Tamandua tetradactyla: one gene and its partners. The protein of the gene in region 3 interacts with the protein of the main gene of each other region in a biochemical or structural test. Links are inferred from orthologs where the notes say so. Each region holds a gene or a part of one and is shown on either strand. Other genes may lie near its edges.

Region 1 (7,941 bases), on a different chromosome or scaffold from region 3:
AGGTCACTATAACCCAAGGATTCTCTCTCCCCAACAGAAAAGGGACCGCTGTTCTGGGTTTTAAAGAGGCCAGCGTTCCTCAAGGTTCAAAATAGAGCCTGGGGTGGTAAAGAGTCCTGTAAACGTTAGCAATGTTCATCCCAACAAAGTGATCACCCAGCTTCGAGCCCATTCTCCGTGATCCTTGGTTACCCTCTCTGGAGGCTCCCCAGCCCTGGTGCCCAGGGGAGTCCCAGGGAGGGGTTGCTAGGCAGGCTCAGTGCTAGGCCCGGGGAATTCTGAGGAGCTGGGACAGCCAAATAGGTGGACAGGGAACAGACCCTCCAGTAAACAGCTCCCAGCAGTGGGACAGATCTGTGTCAGGTTGACAGGGCTATGGGAGCAGAGGGCAGTGACCATGCTATTAGGAGCAGAGAAAGAAGGGGACCCCAAGACCACCAGGCAGACGCGGGGTGGGGGGCAGCCAGCCCACCTAGCCAAATGCATGCCCTGATAGACACAAGCTGCTCGGTCACCATGCTAACACCTCCATAGGCCCTGGGCTAACTCCTGGCAACTGGACGCCAGGTTGAGGGTGGTGAGAAGGAAACAGGGTATCCCCAAGTTCCCATTTATTGGGGGTAAGAGGCATAATAGCCACATAATCACCATGCTACAGGCCCTAGGGGATGAGCCACCATTCCCTGACCAGGAGATGGCAGGCTTCAAAAAGGAGGTGACATCTGAAGCAAGTCTTGGGGAAAGGAGCCTGGGAGAACAAAGACCTGTCTCTCTTCCCTCCTTGGCACCCTCTCCTTGCCCACCAGCCACAGCAGAGGGCAGCAGCCCTTCTCAGCCCAGGAGCCCTCTTCAGGCCAAGGCTGACCAAACAGGCAGAGATGAGAGAAGAATACAAAGCAGTCAAGAGAAGACGGACAGAAGAACAGACACAGGAGACAGACGCTGTTTATTGAGTGGTTGATGCAGGAGAGGTAGCTGGCTCCGGCGTGGACGCGGAGGCAGCAGCTCATGCCGGCGTGTTGTGGGCATGTGGCAGCTACGGCCAGGCCCCCATCCTAAGTGGGGGGGACGGCACAAGCTCACTACGACAGGAGCAGCCAGGGAGCCCGCTGGGGAGCAGGCAGCCACAGCCCCCGGGACCCCAGGCAAGAAGCTGCAGATGAACTTGGCCCAGGGGCCTGGGTGAAGGGGGACTGGGGTCTGGGCATCCTGGGGAGCAGGAGGGGAGTGGGGGTTCACGTCTGTGGGGTGGAATAGAGACAGTGGTGGTGGCCGCCGGGTCCCGGCACCTGGGAGAAGAGCAGAGGAGAGGTCCGCGTCTGGCTGCCTCCGCACCAGCCCGGCTCACGCCCGATGGCGCCGTACCAGCTGCCTGAGCCTAGGCTGCCTGACATGCTGCAGACAGAGAAATAGGGTCAGTCCCAGGACAGTGACTGGGGCCACATGCATGGGAGCTGGGGGAGAGACCGAGGCTTAGAACAGAGCATGCTGGGAGGAGCTCCCGGGGAGCAGCCCCATGCCCCAGACCTCCAGGGCCCAAGGCTTGAGCCCCCGAGACCATTGCAAACTGCACCTTGGGATGGGGCGGGGCATGGGGTCAGCAATAGAAAAACCAGAGGTAGAACCCAGCCAGGGCCAGCGATGGGGGGACAAGACCAGGCTGTAGGTGCCCAAGGCTCCCGAGGCAGGGCGGGGACTCCTACCTGGTGCTCTCACCCCTGCTGTGCTCCCAGGAGCAGCCGTCGTCCTCACAGTGCCCAGCTCGATCGAAGAAGTAGGAACGGGAGCCAAAGACATGCCCACTGAGGATGCGGCTGGTGCTCTAGGGGGAGGAGACCACCCTCAGCACCTTCTCCCGGCTGCCACTGGCCTCCCATAAATCCCCCTGCCCCTGGCACTGCCACATCTGGCCCTCTCTCCACCGGCCCTGCAGCGGGGGGTGGTGGTGGGGTGGACTGGAGGCCCTCACCAGGTCCTGTGCCGGCCGGTGCACCCGGAAAAAGCCCACCAGCAGCGTGGTGGGCAACAGCTCCCACACAAAGAGGATGAGGCCGAACACCAGGTACCCTTTGTCCCCCAGGTCATTCACCAGGTCCGCCTGGGGGAAGGAAGGAAGGTACAGGGCTTGTTCCCATCTGCAATGGTGCCAATGGACCAGCGGGCCAGCCGGGAGCTGCGGCTGCTCCAGGATGCCCACCTGATCGGACACGTTGTACCAGTCGTAGTCGAAGGCGTCCAGCCGGCTCCGCGGGGCCAAGGCCAGGGCTGCCAAGTTGTAGCAGGCCCGGCTAGCATAGAGTAGGACCATGGCGCCACCCATGGCAGCTGCCTGGCACACACTGGTCCCCTGGCAAAGGTTTGTGACAGCTCAGGGAGAGGCAGCGCCCGGCTCCCTCTCTACCCTGAGGACCGCGGTTCCATACACGGGGCATCCGAGCCTCGGGGCCTACCTTGGTTTCCAGGTAGATGCTGGTGGAGGGGGCCCGCCGGGCCACCAGGCAGAGGCAGGCAGCAAGAGAGAGCGCGCAGATGACGAAGAGGGAGTCGCTCACCAGGACTCGTACCAGCAGCAGGGCCCAGGGCTGTGCCCGGCGCCGGTGGGACAGCACAGCGCACAGCACGTTCACCAGCAGAAAGAGCAGGGAGGCTCCCACAAAGGCCCCGCGCACAGCCAGCCTGCAGCCCACAGCACGGTCGGCTCCAGGTAGAGGCCCCCCGGCTCCCACCGCCCACCCCACCTCCCCACGGAGACCCCGGAGACCCCAGAGCCCGTCGGGACCTGCTCCTCCCCTTTGACAGATGGGGAAACTGAGGCCCAAAGAGGTCGGTAGGCGATCTGACAGCTGTGATACCGGGAATCAGACACCTGGGTTTGAGCCCTGGCTCTGCTTCCCGCCAGCTCTGTGACCTTGAACCTGCTGCTTTACCTGGCTGGGCTTCGGTTTCTTCATCTCCCGGATGGGGATAATAAGGACCTCACAGGCTAATTGTAAAACTTAAAGGTTTGTGACGGCTCTGTTATAAACTCTAAGATATTCTTACAAACCACAGGGGCATTGCTGCCCAGTGTCACCCAGAGGTGCAGTCTGACTCTGGAGCACCCATGGGCTGGTGCTTCCTGCCTTTCCTCAGACAATGAGACCCTCATCGCGCACACCCCCCTCCGCCGCCCCTGGCCCTTACAGGCTCACAGCTGCTTCCATTATTGTTGCCCTTCACACACGCAACGCCTCTAGTCCCGCCACCTGTGCCAGGTGCTTTAACTTTTCCAAGCTCGTTCACACACATTCCCTGAAGGTCTTCGTCTCAGCCCAGCAAGGTGAGGAGGGGTGGGAGGTGGCCCAAGCCCCCCCGGTGCCCTGAGTACTTACAAGCCTCGGCTCATCTCTGGCCGACGCTTCGCCTTGGCCTTGAACACCACCTGGGAGCAGAGATGCCCATCAGTCTTTGCAGCCCTTGGGGGCCCCTCACTACACACACACACACACACACACACACACACACACACACACACACACACACACACACACACACACCCTCCAACACCACCCGTTCCGACAGTTACCTGGGCAAAGTAGAGGTTCATGAGGGTCAGAGTGAAGAATTGCAGGCAGACGGGGCAGCAGTAGAGAAGCCAAAAGGGCAGGGGCCCCAGGCGGTTGGCTCGCGGGGTATCTCGGAAGTAGAAGGAAAAGAGGGTGGTACGCAAGGCAGCCCACAGCAGACAGAGTGCCAGGAACACCGTCTGATAGCTGAGACGCTTGTGCCCATACAGGAGCACCAGCCAGAGCTGGGCATAGACGGAGAAGAAGAGCAGGGCGTACAGGGTGGTGTAGGCTGCAGTGAGTCCCAGGGTCACGGCGGGCGGCAGCGCAGGCACCAGCCCAGCAGCAGGCACCAGGCCAGACAGGTTACTCTCCATGGCAGGGACGGCGGCCCGAATCCCGGAGACAGAGATGGAGGGGCTGGCCGGCAGCCAGGGAAATAAATACAGAGGGGAGAGGATCACAGGGTGCTGAGACAGAGAGATGGGGGAGTTCAGGAGGAAAGAAGTTGTGGCTGGCGCAGGCCCTTCTTCCGTGCCAGAGAGACCCTTTGCACCTGGGGGGCACCGACAGCCTGGGCCCTGAGCCGGAGCTCCTCACGCAGGGACATACGCTCCTCTCCAGAGCAGACGGGGGTCTCCTCCTTGGGCCACCCCCAGAACCCTGGGTGTGGGGGTGCAGATGCTGAAGGAGAGGGGTCCCAGGCCTTGGTCGCTCGGGAGGGTCCCAGCAGGAGGGGGAGAGCTGGCCTATGTCCGTTTGCTCAGGACAGCGGCCACTGCAGGGGTGCCCCAACGTCCCGCTCTCCCCCTCCCCAGGCTGGGAGGGAACTCGCTCCCTTCCAGTAATCGGGGTGGGGGGAGCGCCTCTGCCCTCTCGGGATTCCGGACGCCGCCCCCACCCCACCCCCCACCGCGTCCGCTCTCTGGTCGCGGGGGGCGGGAAGAGGCCGACACCGGGTGCCCGCGGCCGCCGCTGGGGAGCCGGCTCCGGTCGCCGGGACCCGGAGCTCCAGCTCCCCGGCTCCCGCTGTTCCGCCCCCTCCTGAGCCTGCGCCTGCGCCGTTCGCTACGCAAATTGCGCAGGGGCCGGCCCTGGCTCCGCAGCCCCGCGCCGCGCCCGCCGTGGGGCGGTTCGAGAATCGGCGCGAGCTGCGCTGCGGGCGGGTGCCAGGGGTTACGCGAGGTGGCGGGCGGCAGGGACGCGGGGAGGGCGCCGCACCCGCCCGTACGCCCTGGGGGGGCGCCGTGGCCTGGACCACTGCGCGGGCTCCCACGTTTCCCTCCCCTATTCCCGATTTGGATCGCGCCGCCCGCACGGGGGCGGGGACTTCGCCTCTGAAGGACACTTCCGCCCACAGTCAAGATGGCTCCCCGGGCCCCGCCCCCGGGCCCTTAACCCGCGGGGTCCCACCGCGGCTCCCGCTCACCTGGTCAGAGCCTTGCACGCCGCCCCACCAGCCCTACGGTTCGCCCTCACAGGGGCCCCTGTCCTTTCTCCTGAGCCCGGGCGGCCATCCTGCCAGGGCGAGGCTCCCTCTCTTATCTCGAGCGCACCCGAGACGGCGCCGGGAGTGGTGCCCCAGCTGCGGGAGGCGCGGGGTTTCCACGCTGGGGAGGAGGAGGGCGCGGGACTTCCCGACCGGGTCACCCAGTGCAGACCGAGCAGTAACAGTAATTGGAGCCGCGGCTGGACATCAAGTACGGCCTCGGCTGGTGCTTTCGCCCCCAGCAATCACTGCTCGGTTTACAAAGTTTTCACTGGCTGCTGAGGGAGGTGTCATTATCCCCAATCCAGACGGGTGGAAACTAAGGCCCAGAGGGGCGGAAGGACTTGTCAGCAGAAGCAGGTCTCCAGGCTCCAAACGGGGACTCCAGAGAATCCCTCACCTGCTTCCGCACACACCCCAGGCGTGAGGAAGCTGGGAGCTGAGCATCCAGGGACCAGCCCGGGACCCGAGAAGAAGGCGAGGGGCAGGACGGGCGGTGGGGCGGGGCCCGGTTTGGCCACGCCTCGCGGCCGGCCCGAGTGACATTGCAAAAGCCTATTGGGTCCGGTCAGTGACAGTTCCCGTTGCCCAGGTAACTAGGGCCGGGCGCCCTGAGTACTGCAGGGAGGCGGCGGGCCCGGGTCAGGGGCCTCGAGATTGGGCTTAGGGTGAGACCTGTGGGCCGTTGCCTTGGCCGGGAACGAGCCGGGGACTGCCTCACAGCCCCAGGGCCCGATGGTAGAGTTGGGTACTGAGTGGATAGGCTGAGCTCCTCCTATCCGGGCCAGACTCTGAGGATAGATGGGGGGCCTGGGAGGCAGGCCGGATCTGCGGGTTCCACGGGTAGGGAGGGAGCCAGGGGTACCTGCCCCCCACCCGCAGCGGCCCCAGCTGTCTGCCCTGACCACCCACTCTCTTGTCCCCACAGCCCGGAGCATGTTCCAGATCCCAGAGTTTGAGCGGGAAGATTCCAGCCTTGCAGATAGGGATCTGGGCCCCAGAGCCTCAGGGGACCAGCCTTCAGGCCTGTGCAAGCACCACCACACGGTTCCAGGCCTCCTGGGAGACGACAGCGGTCATCAGGGGCAGCCAGCTGGCAGCAGCCACCATGGAGGTAGGCAATCTCTTCAACCACCTGGCCCTCATAGCCCCCTGTACCCCAGCCACATTGACACTCACTGACTGGCTTTGGATAAGTCCATAACCTTTCTGAGCCTCGGTTTTCCTCTTCTGTAAAACAGAACACTCATCACCACTCAAAGGCTGTTGGGTATTAGCAGCAATATATAGGAAGCACTAAATTATAGAGTACTGATGCAGAGTACTTGCTCGGAAGAAAACATAGCTGTTATTGTAGGGCCAGGACAAATCAAAAGAACAGGCAGGGAGAAAGGGGAAGTGACTTGCCTAAGGCCACACTTGCTTGATGGAGGTTCCTTTGGTAGGTGGGGCTGGGAGACTCCTTGGTGCCCTGCCCCTAGGCTATGCCCTGCCGCAGACTATACCCCACCCCCAGGCTGCCTTCTTTCCCTGGGACTGGGCTTTCTAGCTTCCTTCCAGCTCCTGCCCACTCCAGGGCTAACCTCAGCTGCCAGGGGCAGGTGACCCCAAGTGGTAGACAGCTCTCCCAGGCAGCGGGGCCTGTGGGGGTTTGAGAAAGATGCTAGTAGAAGTACCCCTGCAACCTGGGCTGTCCTTGCATCCACTGAGGCCCACTGCTGGGGACATTTCTCAGTAGTCCCCCGTGCTCAGCACAGGCCTAGGTCCCTGCCCTGGGACAATCCCAGAGGCCTTCTGGAAAACAAAAACATGATCCCAGTCCCTGTTTTCTTCAGGAGCATGAAAGCTTATGCAGCCTCTATCTCAACCCCCCCAACCCCTCGCTCACACACACACTCTAATAATTTCCAGATCTTTTTATTTGTTGTTTCACCCCCAACACACACACACACCTAGCAATAGTACTCATCCTTTGGTTCCCCTGGCAGCATTCACATGCTCCACCGATTGAGTGCTTGACGTGGGCCACGCACTGTTCAGTTACATCTGTGAGCAAAAGAAATAAAAATCCTGGCCTTGTGGAGCTCACATCTCTAGTGGGATGGGGAGAGACAGGCCATAAACAAACAAGCCGACAAAGGAAATTACAGAATGTGATAGAGGTTTGTATTGCTGCTGGGTGGGTGGAGGGAAAGCTGCAGAGAAAAGAGAATGTGGAGCCCTAGGGCATGGGGTGGTCAACCTAGCTAAGAAGCAAGAGGTTCCGGCAGATACCTGTGGGAAAGCCTTCCAGGTGGCGGGAACAGCAAATGCTAAGGCCCTGGGGGCAAGGTAGTGACTGCATTGTCCCGGGCTTCTATGGCTGGAGGGGACAGTGAGGGGAAACAAAGTTGGAGAGGAGAGTAAAAGAGTTAAGGGACAAGGGACAGGGACGGGCACAGGCAATCTGGGCTGGGTCTGGAAGGCCATTGGAAGGAAGGGCTTTGGCTTTAACCCCGAATGCAAACGCTGGAAGGCCTTTGAGCTGAGAGGGTGTGATGGGATTGGGGCATTACCATCACCAGGGTTGAGGGGAGACTGTAACTGGCAAAAACAGAAGCAGAGATAATCCTGTCGCAATAATCCAGGAAAGAAAAGAGGGGGGGTTGGGCCAGGGTGGTGACAGCGGCGGGTGGTGAGAAGAAGCTGGATTCCAGGTCTGTTTGAAAGGTCCAGCTGGTGTGATTTGCTGGCGACTGGGTGAAGGTTGAGAAGGAGGAGTCAAGGGGAGGGGGCGCCCCCAAATTTTTGGCCTGAGCCCCTGCAGGGATGGAGTAGCCCTTAACTGAGGTGGCAGAGGGTGGGGTACGGGTGGCAGTCAGGAGCCCTGTTTGGTCCATGTGAGGTCAGAGGACGCTTCTAGAAGGG
Region 2 (7,122 bases), on a different chromosome or scaffold from region 3:
TGCAGCTCCAAGACTCACTTTTGAATCAAAGTCTTCCCCAGTTGCCACCTTCCATTTATTTTCCAGAAAGTTGATCAGAAGGGGAAAAATGGACCTGTTCGCAGTGGTCTCTGGTTTCTTCTCTGTGGCTTAGTGATTTCAGATGTCATTTTTCTGCTGTTATATGTACTAAGCACCTAAAACTCACAATAATTAACGTGTAGGCAGCCCTTCCATCTGTTACCCAAGTGCCCAGGCACCAGGATATGGCAGTGAACATGACATTCAAGGCTTCTCTTCTCACAGAAGTGAAGGCTAGGGGGGCCACTCTGTACACATTAACGCAGAAGATAACTTCCCACTTTCTACTGTGTTTTGAAGACAAAGCAAGGTCACAGACCAAGGGAGTGGTGGTAGGGAGGGAGGGGTGTTCAGGGAAGACTTCTCAGAGGAAGCGGCAACTGGGCCAAGAAGGCAAAGACAAAACGTATGAGGGGCCGAGCACCCAATGGGACTAAATGTTTCACCCGGGTGATCCCGAGGCCTCGCAATATCCCATGGAAGTTCACCCTGCATCCCCAGTGCTTGGAGATGGTCAGCAGCATTTATCAACTTCCCCATCACCCTCCTTCTTCCCCTAAAGCGACTAGAAGCTATCTTAGAAAGTTGATTAAATAATTTCGCAGCCCTGGAAAAGGACATTTTTGAGGTACTGGCCGAAAACCCACACCCTGGCAGCCAGTTTCCCCTGATATTTAATAACCATTATATAAACGAAAAGCTAGAAAAGTAAAGGAAAATGGTGCAACCAAGCTTGTGGGAAAGCCGCAGCTAAATCAGTCCCTAAAGGCTCCTGTGACCTTAAGGTTCAGAAGATAGTGGGAAATCCCCAAATCCAGGAGTGAGAAGCGAGGGGGAGGAGTGGAGAACAGACGAGGCAAGGCGGGAGGGCAGCGAGATAAGGAAGGTCAGGCAGGCTACTGAGCCTCCAGGCACCCAGGTACGCACAGCTGCCCGGGAGCAGAAGGACTCATTGCCACCTTTGCCTCTGGGAGAGGACCTGGCTCCTGCCTGTGATCACCTGTGCCCATCCATTCAGGGAACCACCACCAGACGGTATCAAGAAACACCAAAATTGTACCACTTGAGAAGTTATTCTGAGGCTCTGCCCAAAGAGGTGAAAAACTCCAAGTAGAAAAAAGGTTAAGTATCATTAACTCTAGGGTGCTGCTAACAGCTAGCTGCCCTTGGGCTGGCATGGCTTCTCCATACCTGGCCAGACTCCTCCGGGGTTCCTTTAGAGAATGCAGTAATCTCTATTTTACAGAAGGAGGAAACTGAGGCTCAAAGAGGTGAAGTAGCCTGTGGAAGTCCACATAGCTGGAAAGCCGCTGAGTGGAGAGCAGAGTCTTGGCTTCAAGAAAACAGCTCTGGGTTTTGAGCTCTGCAGCTTGGGTATTTGTTTATATCCCTTTCTGGGCGGTGGGAGGCTGGTCTCAGTTTCTCCGTCTGTAAAATGAAATCTCCTGTGTCGGGAGCGGCTAGCACATCTTCCTAGTATGGGCTGGATTTTCCCCTTCTCAACGTGGGAACTACAAGGCTGCTAACTGTCCCTTTCTCTGCGAACTGGGGCAAGGATTACAGGTGTGTGTGTGGGGGGGGGCACTTGATACAGGGCCGGTCACAGCAGGTGCTCAAAAAATGTTGCAAGTGCAGCGGCAACAACGTCCCGTGCCCCAGGGATGGATGGTCCGGGAGAATATCAGAGTAGCAATTACCGGTTTCCAAAGCGGACGCGCATCCAGGAGGCCAAGGCGCCACCGCGAAAGTTGAACAAGCCGGGAGCCCGCCAGCGCTTATTAAAGCCGGGCCCGCAGGCTGCGCCGGGTCCCCTCCCGGGTGACCGAAGAACCGCGTCCCCGAGCCCATTCAAACGCTAAGCGCGCGGGCTGGCGGCTCCCTGTTTACAAAACAAGAGCCTGGCGCCCCGCCTCGGGGTCGAGCCGCGGCTCCGCCCGCTGTGCGCACCTGTGCAGGGGCGTGGGCAGGTGCGGGTCAGCGGCGGCGCCCGGCTCCGCTCACCAGTTCCTGTTCCGGGCTTTCCCGGCGCTCTAAGATAAAGCCTTTCTCCGACCCCTCCGCAGGTGCGCGGAGGCTCCCGGCGCTCGGGTCCCGGTGGGGACAGGTGCCCGACGCCATCTTCCCTTTTTTTAGGGGAACCTGGGGCTCTGACGTCCCGGCTCTGGGCCTGGGGTCCGGCACCGCACTCTTGCCCGCCCAACCCATCCCCCGACGGCCCCCAATAGATCGAGATCGAGATGGAGCCCAGAGCCGGGAGGCCGCGCAGGAGGGCGGCGCCGGGCAAGGGGGCCACCACCCCATTGCTCAGATGCGGAGATTGAGGCCCGCAGGGGGCCGCAACTGGAATCATCCGGGGCGATCGCAGAGCCGAGGTCTCCGAGTCTCCGCTCCGCACATACCACATCCTACACTTTCCCTGGGGACGAAAACCTGGGCCACGGGTCCTCAGCCTTCCACCCGCTCGGACCCCCCGGCGACCCCCAGGGCGTTTACCTGCCCGGCTCGGGCTGGGCGGAGGGTCGGACAGCAGCGAGGTAGAGGACGCGGGCGGGGCGCGTTTGGATCGCAGTCACCCCCGCGGCGGTGGCTACAGTGCCGGCGGCGTCTGGCGGTGGCGTGACCCGGGAGGTGTATTGTCTGAGGCTCTGCGGACGGCCCGGGACAGGATAGGCCGGCCGGGCCCCGCCCACGCCCCGCCCAAGCCCCTCTCTTCAGGGGGGTTCGCGCCCGCGGCCCAGCCTCCATCCCGCCCGCTCTGGCCCCGACGCCGTCGGCCCCGCCCTTTCCCCCTCCCACCTGGAATTCGAGGCCCCGCCCGCCCTGCGACCCCGCCCCCAGGGCGGCCTCCTTCGCCCCACCTCCCGGAGGCCAAGACTGAGACCGCAAATGGTAACAGAACTGCTACAAGTGTAATCTGCGTACTTGTTTATTGTCTCTGTGGCTCCGCAAATCTGCAAGCTTGTTTTTGTCCTTTCGCTGCCGACTGTGCATGCAGTAGCCCAGGCGGAATATTTGGGGATGGAGCTACTGGCCAAATCTGCGCCACTGTATACAACCTTCATTCCGTTCAAAAAAGTCCTAAGGGGTCGGTGCTTTTTCCGGTGCCCATTTTACCGATGAGAAAACTGAGGCTCAGAGAGGACAAAATGACTTGCTGAGTGGCAGTGTGAAGTCAGTGCTCAGATATCCGTACTCTTTACACTGGTAGCTTCGGGAATTAGGTATTTGTAAGCAAATTTCGCAAATGTAGAAAATAGGGCAGCTTCCCCCCACCCCCATCACTGCTTCCATCCCGGCTTGGTGCAGCCTTTGGCCTGCACACACCTGTTCCCGGTACCCCCCAAGCCTTGCAAAGCTGGGGCATCCTGACCTGCCCTGGGGCTCCTTGTTGCAAGAAAATGGAGGGTGGACAAGCAGTGGAGGCTAGAGCGAGGTGGTGCCCAGAGCTCCTGTGGAAGCAGGAGGAATGGAAGGAGCCCTGAGTGGGGGGAGGGAGCAGAAACCCCCAGGCCAGGCCTAGGGGCTGTTTGGGGTGGAGGAAGGGAGAGGCTGAGCAGGGATAACAAAGTAACCTTTGTTTGGAGAACACAACAAGGCTTGTTTACCTCAGTCTGATCTGAGGGCATAGGGTGGGGCCCAGAGGGGGCTCCCTGGGCTGTTCTGCCATTTGCCACCTGTGGGGCCCTCAGGGTCACATCACCACTGGGGTGACCAGCCTCTCACTCAGTGTCCTCATGTGCTAAAAGGGAAGACGGCACCGACCCCTGGAGCTGTTAGGGTCAGAGGGGAAAGTTAGCGAAGCTTTGAAGAACTCAGAGCCCAAATGTCTTTGTAAATGCATGTCCCTGTCTTAATGAGGTCCCCAGGTCTCATAAAGCCTAAGCCCCACAAAGCCGCTGTCCCCAGGGTCTGGCCGGCCACAGGGTGCCTTACAGGCAGGAGTGAGGAGCCAGCAAAATACTCAGGGAAAGTGAAACAGAAGCGGTGACACAGGGTGTTACAGGCCAAAAGACCCGAGGTGGGTAGAAATGCCCCCTGAGGGCCCTCGGGTGAAGCAAGGGCACTGCAGAGGGCACAGAGTGGGCACTCAATCAATGTTAGCAGAGCAAACAGAGGAAGGAGGTCAGTCTGGGGATAGATGGGGGATAGAAGGGCTGGGAGGAGTGGGTTAAAAAAATTTGCCTTGCAAGTTCCCTTGGTAATATGCTGATTAAATGGAGGAAGAGGCAAAATCCTTTTGAATAAGAATTGGTCCTTTAGTCCAAAAAAGGCCCTGGGTTAGATGGCAAATGGTATTAACAGTTCAAGGATAAGGTGACTTGTCCCACCTGTTTGGCCCCCACACCTAGGGCTAAGCACTCCCTAATAAGGAGCTCCTGTACTCTTGCAGCCAACCACCCCCATGTGACAGGACGGACCACACCCCTTCCATATGACAAGCTGGAGCACTCACAGGGTGCGTGAACAGGCACGGGACAACTTGTGACCTGTTTTACAGATGGGGAAACTGAGGCTTAGCAGAGGGAGGACAGCAGCAGAGGTGGGTGCAAGTCCCGGGGATCCTGCACTCAGGCCCGTGGTGCAGTCCCTTCCTTACCTGAGTGGCAGTCCAGGGGAGCTGCCTCTGGGGCCTCTGAACCTTCCTAGCGACCCCCACCCCCCCACCCCCCCTCCACCCCCCCACCCAAGCCCCTCCTGCTGCGACCATGACCGCTTTTGTCTGTTATTCAAGGATCTACTGCCCACAGACCCTTGGGCACCACTTCAGGTTGTCATTGATATGCATTTATTTGCTTATTCATTTAACAAATTGAGTGAAACTTGGCACGTGCCAGGCAGGATGGTCGGTGATGGGGTCCAGAGATGACACATCCTAGTGCAGGAGATAGAGGATAAACCTGGTGACGGGAAAATAGTGTCCAGCAGTCACAGGCACAGCACCAGCGCAGGAGCGTGGAGCAGGGGAGGGGTGGAGGGTGGAGGACAGGGGTGGGCCTTTTAGCCAGGGTGGCCAGAGGAGGCTCTGAGCGAGGCGAACTTCGTGCACAGAGGGAAGTGAGGAGAGGAGCCTTCCAGAGACCTGAGGGTGATGCCCATGGCTGGAGAGGGGAAGGAAGGGACAGAGCTGGCAGCGTGTGCAGGGTGGACAAGAAAATGACCACCTGCTTGCCAAGTGCTGGCCTCGGTGTCCAGAGCCCCACCTGGAGAGCCAGAAGCTGGTGTGGGTTTGAAATGGCCCTGTCTGGCCACTCGTCATCCCAGACTTTTATGCCCAGCCTTGAGGTGACACCTTATCTGGAAAATCCCTGAGCTCTGCGGGCTCTGCGGAAGCCTGTGTAATATCAGGAGGGTCGGCTCCTCAAAGGGCTTCTCTGTTCTTTCCCAAGCTGGGCCTGAGTTTAGTGCCAGGAGGCAGAGCAGCCTGGCAGGCCCCCTCCTCACCCGTGCATTTCACCTGCGCCCTTCCCAGGAGCACCTCGCAGGGAGCACAGTGGGCCGGGCACATTGCCTGGGTGGTTTCATGTACCTCCTTCTGCTTGTATGAAAAATCCAGCATAGGCAAATCCATAGGGACAGAGTCTCCCCACTAGAGACCAGCCTTGGAGAGGGGTTCTAACCGGCACCAGGGCACACAGCCAAGAGGTTGGAACCCTTTGTCCCATCCACCTTTGAAGACTGTAGCTGGACTTCTGAAAGTCTGTGACACCCCACTCCCCGCTGCCACACCCAGAGTAAAGCAAACTTGTGTTTGATTATGAGTCTTCTCTGGGAAGACGACTTGCAGCCAGCCTGGTGGGTGAGATCTGAGATGTACCAAGTTCGAATCCTGCCTCTACCACCTGTATAGTGGTAAATGCACCTAACATACAATTTACCATTTTAAAGTGTAAAATTCAGTGCCATTTAATGCGTTCACAATGTTGTGCAAATGTAACCACTATCTAGTTCCAGAACATTTTCCACTCCAAAAGGAGCCCCACACCATTAAGCAGCCACTCCCCACTCTGCCCCCCCACCTCAGCCCCTGGCAACCTCTAATTTGCTTTGTATCTCTATGGATTTGCCTGTGCTGGACCTTTCATACAAGTGGAATCAGACAATATGTGGCCTTTTGTGTCAGGTACTTTCACTTAGCATAATGATTTCCAGGTTCAACCATCTCGTAGCATGTGTCAGAACTTCATTCCTTTTTATGGCTGAATGGTAAAGAGTTTTAACATGTCCACAAAAGGTACTGTATCTTGGAGATGTGTGATCTATTAGATAAAATAGTGTGTTTTACAAATTAGTGTGTCCACTATAAATCCCATACTTTTAAAAACATTTTTTATTATAAACTATAACATATACAAAGCAAAGAAAGAAAAAAGCAGTAATTTTCAAAGCACACCTCAGCAAGTAGTTACAGAACAGGTCCCAGAATTTGTCATGGGCTACCATTCCTCCAGATTTTTTCCTTCTAGATGCTCCTAAACGCTGGAGGCTAGACGGGATATTAATATAGTGATTCAGCAGTCATACTTGTTTTCCAAATCCTATTCTCTCTGCTATGCCTCCTCCATTCCCCCGGATCCTTCTCCTAATCCATAGGGATCCCTGGGCAATGCCCTTTCTGGCTTTTTTTTTTTTTTTTTTTTTTTTTTATTTAGAGAGAGGGAGGAAAGGAAGGAAAGACAGAGAAGGAAGGAAGGGAGGAAGAAAGGGAAACATTTTTAAACATTTTCTTGTTTTATTATATTTTGTTTGTTTGTTTGTTTTTTACATGGGCTGGGGCCGGGAATCGAACCGGGGTCCTCCGGCACGGCAGGCAAGCACTCTTGCCCGCTGAGCCACCGCGGCCCGCCCCCTTTCTGGCTTTTTCATGTTGTGAAGGGGTGTCAACACTAAAGGATAGGGGGAGGTAATTAATTGATAATCTTGGAGAGGCTGGTCCCTCTGGGTTTCAGGAATAAATCCCACATTTCTAAAAGTCCCTGTATAAGAAAGTTCTGGTAGGAAACACAACAAAGCAAAGTGGTCCTGTCTGGGCAGTAGGATTGCAGGTGGTCAAATTTTCTGCAT
Region 3 (8,057 bases):
GGCCGCGCGCGCCTCCTGGGGGAAAGAGGGAAGATGGGGGGAAGACAGGGGCGCACAGGGGCGGGGAGACAGGGGGCGAGGCAGTGGGCCAATCACAAGCCAGCTCCCAAAAGGGGCTACCAAGAGCAAGCGCAGGACAGGGGATAGAGATGGCTGTTCCTGGAGTAATCCATGCCCACACGCCCGCCGCGGTTGGATAGGGACACAGGTGGGGCCTCCGGGGAGGGGGCGTGTCCCTGCCGCCTACCTGGAGGCCGCGGGGTCGGGGCTGGCACGGAGCGAAGTGACGGAGTGCGTCCCTCTGCAGCTGCACCTGCACGTGGCGGGGCACCCGGGGTATCTCTCCTGGACGGAAGCGGCGCACCGCAGCCAGCTCCAGCCCCAGGGCATCCGCGAAGCGCACTCTCTTGCGAGTGTCGGGGCTGCGGCTGCGGGGCGCTCGGAACCCCCCGCCTCCGGCGGGCGCTGAGCGGGCCCGGCGGCCCCGACTCGGAGCGTGAGCGCGGGACCGGGCCCCGAGCCTCGTCCCGCCCTCGCCTGTCTCCTCCTCCGGCTCTTCCTCGAGGCTGGGCCGTTGGCTGCGGTAGTAGGCGCGCTCGGTTAGCGCGGCAATAAAGCTCAGGTTGCGGGGGATGTCGGTGCGAGGGGGACGCTCGCGGGACATGGCATCCCCCAGCGCGGGCGGGCGCCCGCAGCGCTGCACGCTCCCCTCTCTCCGGCTCTCCCTCCCGCCCCGCGTCCCCCGATGGCGCGAGGTCGGCTCAGCACCCCCTCGCCATTGCGTACTCTCCTTGCTGTCACCTCCAAGAGTCTTAACTTCCCCTTCCTCTGCCTCGTCTCTGAGGCAACCTTCCCTCCCTCCGGCCCGGCGTCCGCTCCAGGGTCTGGGACCGTCACCTCCTGCGAGCTCCCTCGTCTGAGCGTGCGCTCAACGGCGCTCACCCTCCAGCCCCGCGGCCTCCGCGGCCTCCGCCGCCCCGGCTCCCGCCCGCAGCCTTCTGACAGGTGGCTCCCCATCTGTCTCTGCTGCGGCTGCTGCTGCACCAGGGGGCGGGGATTCCACCCTTTCGGTCCCAGGTGAGGCCACCTTGCCTTCCCTTCATGTCCTCAACCTCTCCGGCACGGAAATGGTTAACTGAGGGAGGGACGAGTAACCTTTCCTTTTCTTGCTGAGAAGGTTCAAAACTTTCAGTGTGTAACTTTATCTTCAGGGCTTACTGTTTTCTTCCTACAACCGGAGGCTTCAGGTTTGGGTGGCGGGTGATGGTGGGCGCAGAGACGGGAAGGTCAGGTCAGGAAGGCTAGGTAGAGGCTTTCCAATAGAAGATGAGACGTGGTGTTCAAAAGGGTAGGTGGCTGAGCCCTGCCAGTTGGAAAGAGTTCTGGACTGAGTTGTACCTCCGCCTGTGGTACTGTTTAGCCTGACCTTAAGCAAGGCACAACTTCTCTGGACCTCAGTTTTCTTCTCTGTAAAACAACAACAGCAAAAACGGGTTAAAGGTATATGATCTCTAACCCGATGGTGAGCCCTTCAGGGGCAGGGGCTGCGTCTGCTTCATGGTCAATCTCGTTACATACAGACCCTCAAATTATTGAGTGCATAATTTGCACTCTACAACTCTTTTTTTTTTTAAACTTTTTTATTAATTAAAAATTAACAAACAAAACATTAAGATATCATTCCATTCTACACATACAATCAGTAATTCTTAATACCATCACATAGTTGCATATTCATTTCTTAGAACATTTGCATCGATTTAGAAAAAGAAATAAAAAGACAACAGAAAAAGAAATAAAACGATAATAGAGAAAAAAAAAAGATTATACATACCATACCCCTTACCCCTTGCTTTCTACAACCCTCTTGGATCTGGGATTGTTGGGTTCTTGTTCCAGTGGACATATCTTAGACCAAGTAGGGCACAGAGCCGGCTTTCCCCCTTTCATCTTTTCTACTTTACTGAAAAAGCACAAGAAGTGTTTTTTCTTTTTCTTTTTTGTCTTTCTAACTTTCCCACTAATCTTATATAGCACTTGCAATATTCTAGGTACTGTTTTAAGAGCTTTACAAATATTAACTCGTGAAATGCAGCTATCTTAGGAGCAGGGAGTATTAGTATCCCTATTTTATAGATGCAAAAATCAAGGCAGGGAGGGGTTAGGACCCTTGCCCCAGGGTCACATAGCTATAATAACTGGGGGGCTGGGAAATTTGGACCCCAGCAGTCTGGCTCTAGAGTCCACTTTCTAATCCTCATGGTTATATAAGGGTAAAACATTTAATGAAAATCGTTAACATCTTTACAGTATTGGACAATCAGAGTAGAAATGTCATCTCTAGATTTAGAACAGCAGGATAGTTTAATTGTAAAATCACAAGAGACTAAGCTATTAATAAACGATGTGTATCTTATTATTGTCCACCTCATTCTTGTTTGCATTTTAACTCTGGTATTTACCATAGCAATGCTCTTTAGCCAGGACTCTTTTTTTTTTTGCATGAGCAGGCACCTGCAATCAACCAGTTCTGGGGCATGGCAGGCAAGAACTCTGCCTGCTGAGCCACCATCGCCTGCCCAGGACTCATTTTTAAAACAACAATTGAGTTTTGTTTTTATTTTACATATGCATACAAAATCCATGGACATCTTCATATCTGAGGGTATAAAATAATCATATACTAATTTATGTTACAGTCAAGCAGTTTAAAACTGTCTTTCTTGCCCTGGTAAAATATGTGTCATTGAAGGAATATGATGTTAGTTTTTTGGGTGAAGGCTGTGTTGCTTTGTCTACAGATTGAGTTGCTGTTCCTTCTTGGCTCTGCGGTGTTGGTCTGAGAAAATCCTAGAGGTACATAGCTTTGGACCAGGTACACGTTGTGTTGGTTCAGCAACTCTGTGCCCCTGGCTGCTCAGACCTAGATTAAATCTTTCTTCTAAATCAGCCTTTATTTCTTAAGCAACTACTGTAGCTATTTTCACGTCTGGCTGAGACTGTTCAATAACTGGCCAGAGGCGTTGATTGGTTCACTCAGAATTTACTGAGAGTCTATTAGGCTATGAAGATGCAAACATGGATAAAACTTAGTTTCTGCTCTCAAGGAGGTTTTGAATAAATGGCAAATATATTTGGATCCTGAGATTTAAAAGTGTTTTATTTCAAGTAAGTTTCTTAGAAGAAACTACAATTCCAATTGAAGGCCTTGATTGGGTTATTCTCTAAAAAAGGGGGCAGCCTTACTGGAATGATCAGCCCAAGAGCAAAGGAGAATTGAAGATGGTAGGAGGGATACAGCCAAAAAGGAATGGACTAAAATGTGCACTTGGAAAAGAGGAGAAAACTGAGTTTGAACTTGTGAATGGTAGGAATTCAGACTGTGAGAACTGCAATGAATACCTAAAGGAAAGATGTGACCTTGAAGTAGTCTAGTGTATCAAAGTTAAGACGATAAGCTTTCAGGTTAGATGGAATTAGGTTGAGTCCCAGCTTCACCTTTCAATTCACCTTTGGGCAAATTATTTAACCTCACCAAGTCTCAATTTCCTCATCGACAGAATGAAGATAAAGCAGCATAAGGATTGGTGTAAGGATGAAATATCATGCTTGTAAAGAAAGCATTTAGCATCTAATTAATCCTCAAAGTGTATTAGTTGTTGCTGTTATTGTTACAGAAAAGCCCTTGCTTCTCCAAGTGACCATAGAAGCAGATAGGAATACCAAGGCTTGGACCGGAAGCAGAAACAGAGGAAACCAGCAGGAAAGCAGGAGAACTGGGTTACCTCTTTCTGGCCTTTGGTTGGGGCTCCTTCGAAATGGGCCCAAAGGAAGTGCTGGCTGCAAGGGATTGAGGCCTCTGTGAAACCAGCCGCTCCCACCCCCACTCCAGCCCCCATGAGGGGTCCCAGGAAGAATGCCTGTGAAGGCTTTGGGTGGATCAGCTGTGGCCAGACTCCCTCACTTCTGAACTGCCCTGGGCTCCTTAGCTCTATGCACATGTGCCATGTGTGGGAGAGAGAAAAGGTTCATAGGTCATCCAGAGACATGCTATCTGGAGAATAAATTTCTTTGAAGCCCTGGGGTTATGGGATCAACGCAGAGCAGGGCAATGTTGCGCTGCGACATTAAATAATAACTTGGATAAATCTCCAGTATCACAGGAAAAAATGAGTTACTGAATAATATTTACCATATGATTTAGTGTATGTAATAAAAGTCTAATATTTTGCGTATGTGTATAATCACACATACGTATACACACATTCATATACACACACACATATATGCTTATATACACAGCCACCACAAATCTGAAAGGATAAACAAAACATCAACTTTAACACTGGCAACCTCCAGGGAGGGAGGTAGAATGGGGGGGGCGGTGGAGGTAAGTGAAGTCGAGAATTTGTCGTTTTTGCTCTATACCTCTATATTGTTTGACTTTTCCATAATGAGAATGAGTTCATGTGCTGAGTAAAAAAACAATTTTTAAGAAAATCAATTTGATTTCAAAAAAAAAAGAAGAAGAAAAGTTACCTGCATGAACTGTTTGCAATCCAAGTTCTAGCCCCTGGATGTCTGGCCAGAGCCCCAGCCCATGGGAAGACCATTGATTAAAGGCCCTGGAGAAAAGAGGTTGGGAAAGGTTTGGTGACTATCTACTAGTCGCCCAAGGGCAAAGAACCTGGCAGGCAGATTTCAGGGTAATGGGAACTGCTCCTCTTTCCTGGGCACCCACTCCAGGCCTGGAAAAGTTCAACAAGTGCATGAGGCATCAGAGACCATCTGGAAATGCTGAATGGGTTCCGAGATTTCCCGAGGCCTGGAGCACTTCCCTGGGCAGCTCTGAGGCTGGCCCATGGTGCCCTCTTCACCCAGCTCTCCCTGCCCTTCAGAGGCCCTCTCTTTTCCCTAGTTGTGGCCCTTCCCAGGCCTGCGTCCCAGCCCCGCCCCTCTCTCTGGACGCATCTCTGGGCCCCATCATCACCCGGCGCCGGGCCCTCCCTCCCACCCCCCCTTTCTCCTCCCTCTTTCCTTCCCTCCCTTCCTCCCTTTCTCCCTCCCTCCCAGCTCCTGCACCAGGAAACGGCCTGGATCTCGGCCGCGGCCTGACCCGTGAGATCCCTAACCTGGCCGGCGGGCGGGGTTGGAGACAGGCTGAGGGTGGGGGTAAGGGAGGAGCTGGGCCTTTGGGCTGCACTGGGGGGAAGCTGGGAGTGGAGATGGTGTCGGCAGGAAGCCCTTGGCTCTGGGTTTCCCGGGAGGACAGTCATTAAACATGGATTCGGCCACACAGCTGGTAGAACGCTGGGGGCAGGGGCCCGGTCCCAAGAGCTGCAACCCCAGCCCTGCTCAGGCCAGACCCTGATCCCTGGCCTTCCCCACCTAGCTCTGATCTCCCCCTCACCTTCCCAGGGTTCCACGCTGGCCGGGAGGATGAAAGGCCCCAGCTGGGGGCTCCTTGCCACCAGCGCTGGGTCCTAAGAGCTGCCATCCAGGCTGGGTGAGTGTCCCCCTCCTTTCTCGGCCCCGGGCAACCCTTTGCTTCTCCTACCTTTCTCTTCAGCCCTTGTCTCCTCCCCATCTTGTGCCTCTGCCAGCATCTTCACATCTTGCCTCTGGGAGGTTCTAAGTGCTTTCCTGTAGCCCAAAGGATATACGAAGAGGAGGTTTGTAGGGCTGTCATAAAGCTGGTGTTGTCTTTTTATGGCAAGAATCTGATGTAGTACCATTTACTTTGGCATATTACACATTTGATTGCAGCCCCTCAGGCTTGGATGCCTCACCATGATTTAAGTCCCCTGTTCTTAGACCTCCTTGCCCAGCGGTCTCTGAGTGTCCCCTCCCACCCCTACCCTGTCTCACTGGATGGCTGAGCCTGAGCTGTGCCTTCTGGGTCCCTTCCGTATATTCATGCCAGTCTTTCATCCCTGACTCTTGCAGCCGCCCGGATGGCGACCCCTGCCTCAGCCCCAGACACACGGGCTTTGGTTGCAGACTTTGTAGGCTACAAGCTGAGGCAGAAGGGTTATGTCTGTGGCGCTGGCCCCGGGGAGAGCCCAGCAGCTGACCCGCTGCACCAAGCCATGCGGGCGGCGGGAGATGAGTTTGAGACCCGCTTCCGGCGCACCTTCTCTGACCTGGCGGCTCAGCTGCATGTGACCCCCGGCTCTGCCCAGCAGCGCTTCACCCAGGTCTCTGATGAACTTTTCCAAGGGGGTCCCAACTGGGGCCGCCTTGTGGCCTTCTTTGTCTTTGGGGCTGCGCTGTGTGCTGAGAGTGTCAATAAGGAGATGGAGCCTCTGGTGGGACAAGTGCAGGAGTGGATGGTGACCTACCTGGAGACACGGCTGGCTGACTGGATCCACAGCAGTGGCGGCTGGGTAAGAAGCTTCTCAGTTGTTGCTCTGCCCATCCCTCTGCAAAACTGATCTCCTGGGGGGAAGGTGGGGGCTCTGACTGGGGGCTGGGGAGAGCTGTGCTGGGAATGAGGCATGGGAGCTGAGTTCCCCTGTTTGGGTAGAATCAGACTGAGAGACACCCTCCCTGTGGGCACACGCTGGACTCTGCACGTCAGGGCTCGCTGCCATGCAGTAGTCACTGGACAGGCTCATGGTCCCAAGCAGAGAGGACAGACTACACAGCCCAAGGAAAGCCTGTAGGTGTTAGGCGAGGCTTTCAGGAGCTTTCTACACCCAAGTACGTGGATAGCATAGGGGAAGCAGTGAGGGGGTCGGGGGTGGGCAAGACCTGGTGAAGGATGCCAGCTCTGAGCAGAATTTTTGACCAAGTAAGGATGGGAGTCACCTGAGACTGACAGGGCGAATGAGCCACGTGCTCATGGGGGACACATGGGAGTATCAGAGGGGCTCGAGGCCAGCAGAGCTTTGGTCAGAGAGGAACTGGGTGTTTGGGGGTGCTCACAGTGGATGGAACTGGAACTCTTCCTCTCCTTTTTTCTCCATTCTTTCCTCTCCTGATATCCTTTCTCCTTCTCTCTCCTACTTCCCTTCTCTCCCACAGGCGGAGTTCACAGCTCTATACGGGGACGGGGCCCTGGAGGAGGCGCGGCGTCTGCGGGAGGGGAACTGGGCATCAGTGAGGACAGTGCTGACGGGGGCCGTGGCACTGGGGGCCCTGGTAACTGTAGGGGCCTTTTTTGCTAGCAAGTGAAAAAGTCCAGGGCCAGGTGGGGCTAGGTGTGGCTGGGGGACAGGAGCAGGAACAGAAAAGAGAAATGCCCTTGGAAGAAGTGGGGTGAATAGATGGGCAGGAAACGGGGATGGGAAGGGGAAGTAGAGGGTGTGAGGGAGCTGAGTGAAGCAGGTGGTTGGAAGTTGAGCTGGAGACACTGGAGAATGAATGTACTGGGAAGGCTGGAGGGCCAAGAGATAGTCACATTCCAGGGGTGGGGGGTGGTGGGAGGGATCATGCCTATAGGTGTGGGCACACGGAACTGCACCTGGAGCGTGGTTTGCAGCCCTAAAGAAGGTAGACTTGCATAGGGGGTTGCATCACCACTGGATGGGTGGAATTTGGGGAGACATAGAAGGTACATCCCTTTGGAATGGAAGCTCAGGGTACTCAGGTGATAGGGAGAGGTGGCTGTGACGGTGGGCTGCTTGGACACACGTGTGCATGTGCACGTGTGCTCATGTGCATGCTGGGCTGCTTGTCTAATCTGGCGGTGGTGGTATTCTTCAAGGCTAAAACATTCCCTCTTGCAGTGGCAAGAACAAGGGGCAGCTCTCTGCCCTTCCTCCCAGCTCCCTCCTTCCCCCTCTTATCCTGATGTCTCAAGGCTGAGGGAGAAACATTTTATCCAGGCTGAGGGCACTTCTCTGCAAAAAGTAGTTGGCAGGGCTTTGGAGAAAAGAGCAGTTCTGCAGCTGGCCTTGTTCCTTCATCACTCCCTTCCTTGTGCATCACGCACTTGCTGCTGCCTTCTGGGCTCTGATGGAAAGGCAGGGCTGAGGAGCCTGGGTGGGTAGAGGCCTGGGTAGCTGGACCTGCCTGCCACCCTCCTTTCCCACTGGGACACAATGTTGCCTAGA

What was found.
Region 1: the proteins of BCL2L2 (region 3) and BAD interact in a biophysical measurement, tested with the Homo sapiens proteins (4 studies listed by BioGRID and IntAct, with this or other methods). The link is inferred for Tamandua tetradactyla from reciprocal best matches to the Homo sapiens genes BCL2L2 and BAD.
Region 2: the proteins of BCL2L2 (region 3) and BIK interact in a biophysical measurement, tested with the Homo sapiens proteins (2 studies listed by BioGRID and IntAct, with this or other methods). The link is inferred for Tamandua tetradactyla from reciprocal best matches to the Homo sapiens genes BCL2L2 and BIK.

Annotation. Positions count from the first base shown.
Region 1 is NC_135335.1:10,363,095-10,371,035, forward strand, and holds the start of BAD (bcl2-associated agonist of cell death), read left to right. Parts: upstream 1-4,854; 5' UTR 4,855-4,977; exon of another isoform or gene 4,978-5,012; intron 5,013-5,052; exon of another isoform or gene 5,053-5,877; intron 5,878-5,962; 5' UTR 5,963-5,970; coding exon 5,971-6,148; intron 6,149-7,941. Other genes in the region: integral membrane protein GPR137, read right to left, coding at 1,236-1,395, 1,704-1,822, 1,970-2,098, 2,198-2,347, 2,451-2,676, 3,372-3,421, 3,566-4,015, 4,102-4,155. UniProt on the Homo sapiens protein: Promotes cell death. Successfully competes for the binding to Bcl-X(L), Bcl-2 and Bcl-W, thereby affecting the level of heterodimerization of these proteins with BAX. Can reverse the death repressor activity of Bcl-X(L), but not that of Bcl-2.
Region 2 is NC_135333.1:36,798,855-36,805,976, reverse strand, and holds the start of BIK (bcl-2-interacting killer), read right to left. Parts: upstream 3,052-7,122; coding exon 2,983-3,051; intron 2,706-2,982; coding exon 2,554-2,705; intron 1-2,553.
Region 3 is NC_135340.1:31,574,290-31,582,346, reverse strand, and holds the start of BCL2L2 (bcl-2-like protein 2), read left to right. Parts: upstream 1-5,025; 5' UTR 5,026-5,118; exon of another isoform or gene 5,119-5,418; 5' UTR 5,419-5,506; exon of another isoform or gene 5,507-5,643; intron 5,644-5,946; 5' UTR 5,947-5,954; coding exon 5,955-6,386; exon of another isoform or gene 6,387-6,438; intron 6,439-6,927; exon of another isoform or gene 6,928-7,026; coding exon 7,027-7,176; 3' UTR 7,177-8,057. Other genes in the region: PPP1R3E (protein phosphatase 1 regulatory subunit 3E), read right to left, coding at 1-15, 248-664. UniProt on the Homo sapiens protein: Promotes cell survival. Blocks dexamethasone-induced apoptosis. Mediates survival of postmitotic Sertoli cells by suppressing death-promoting activity of BAX.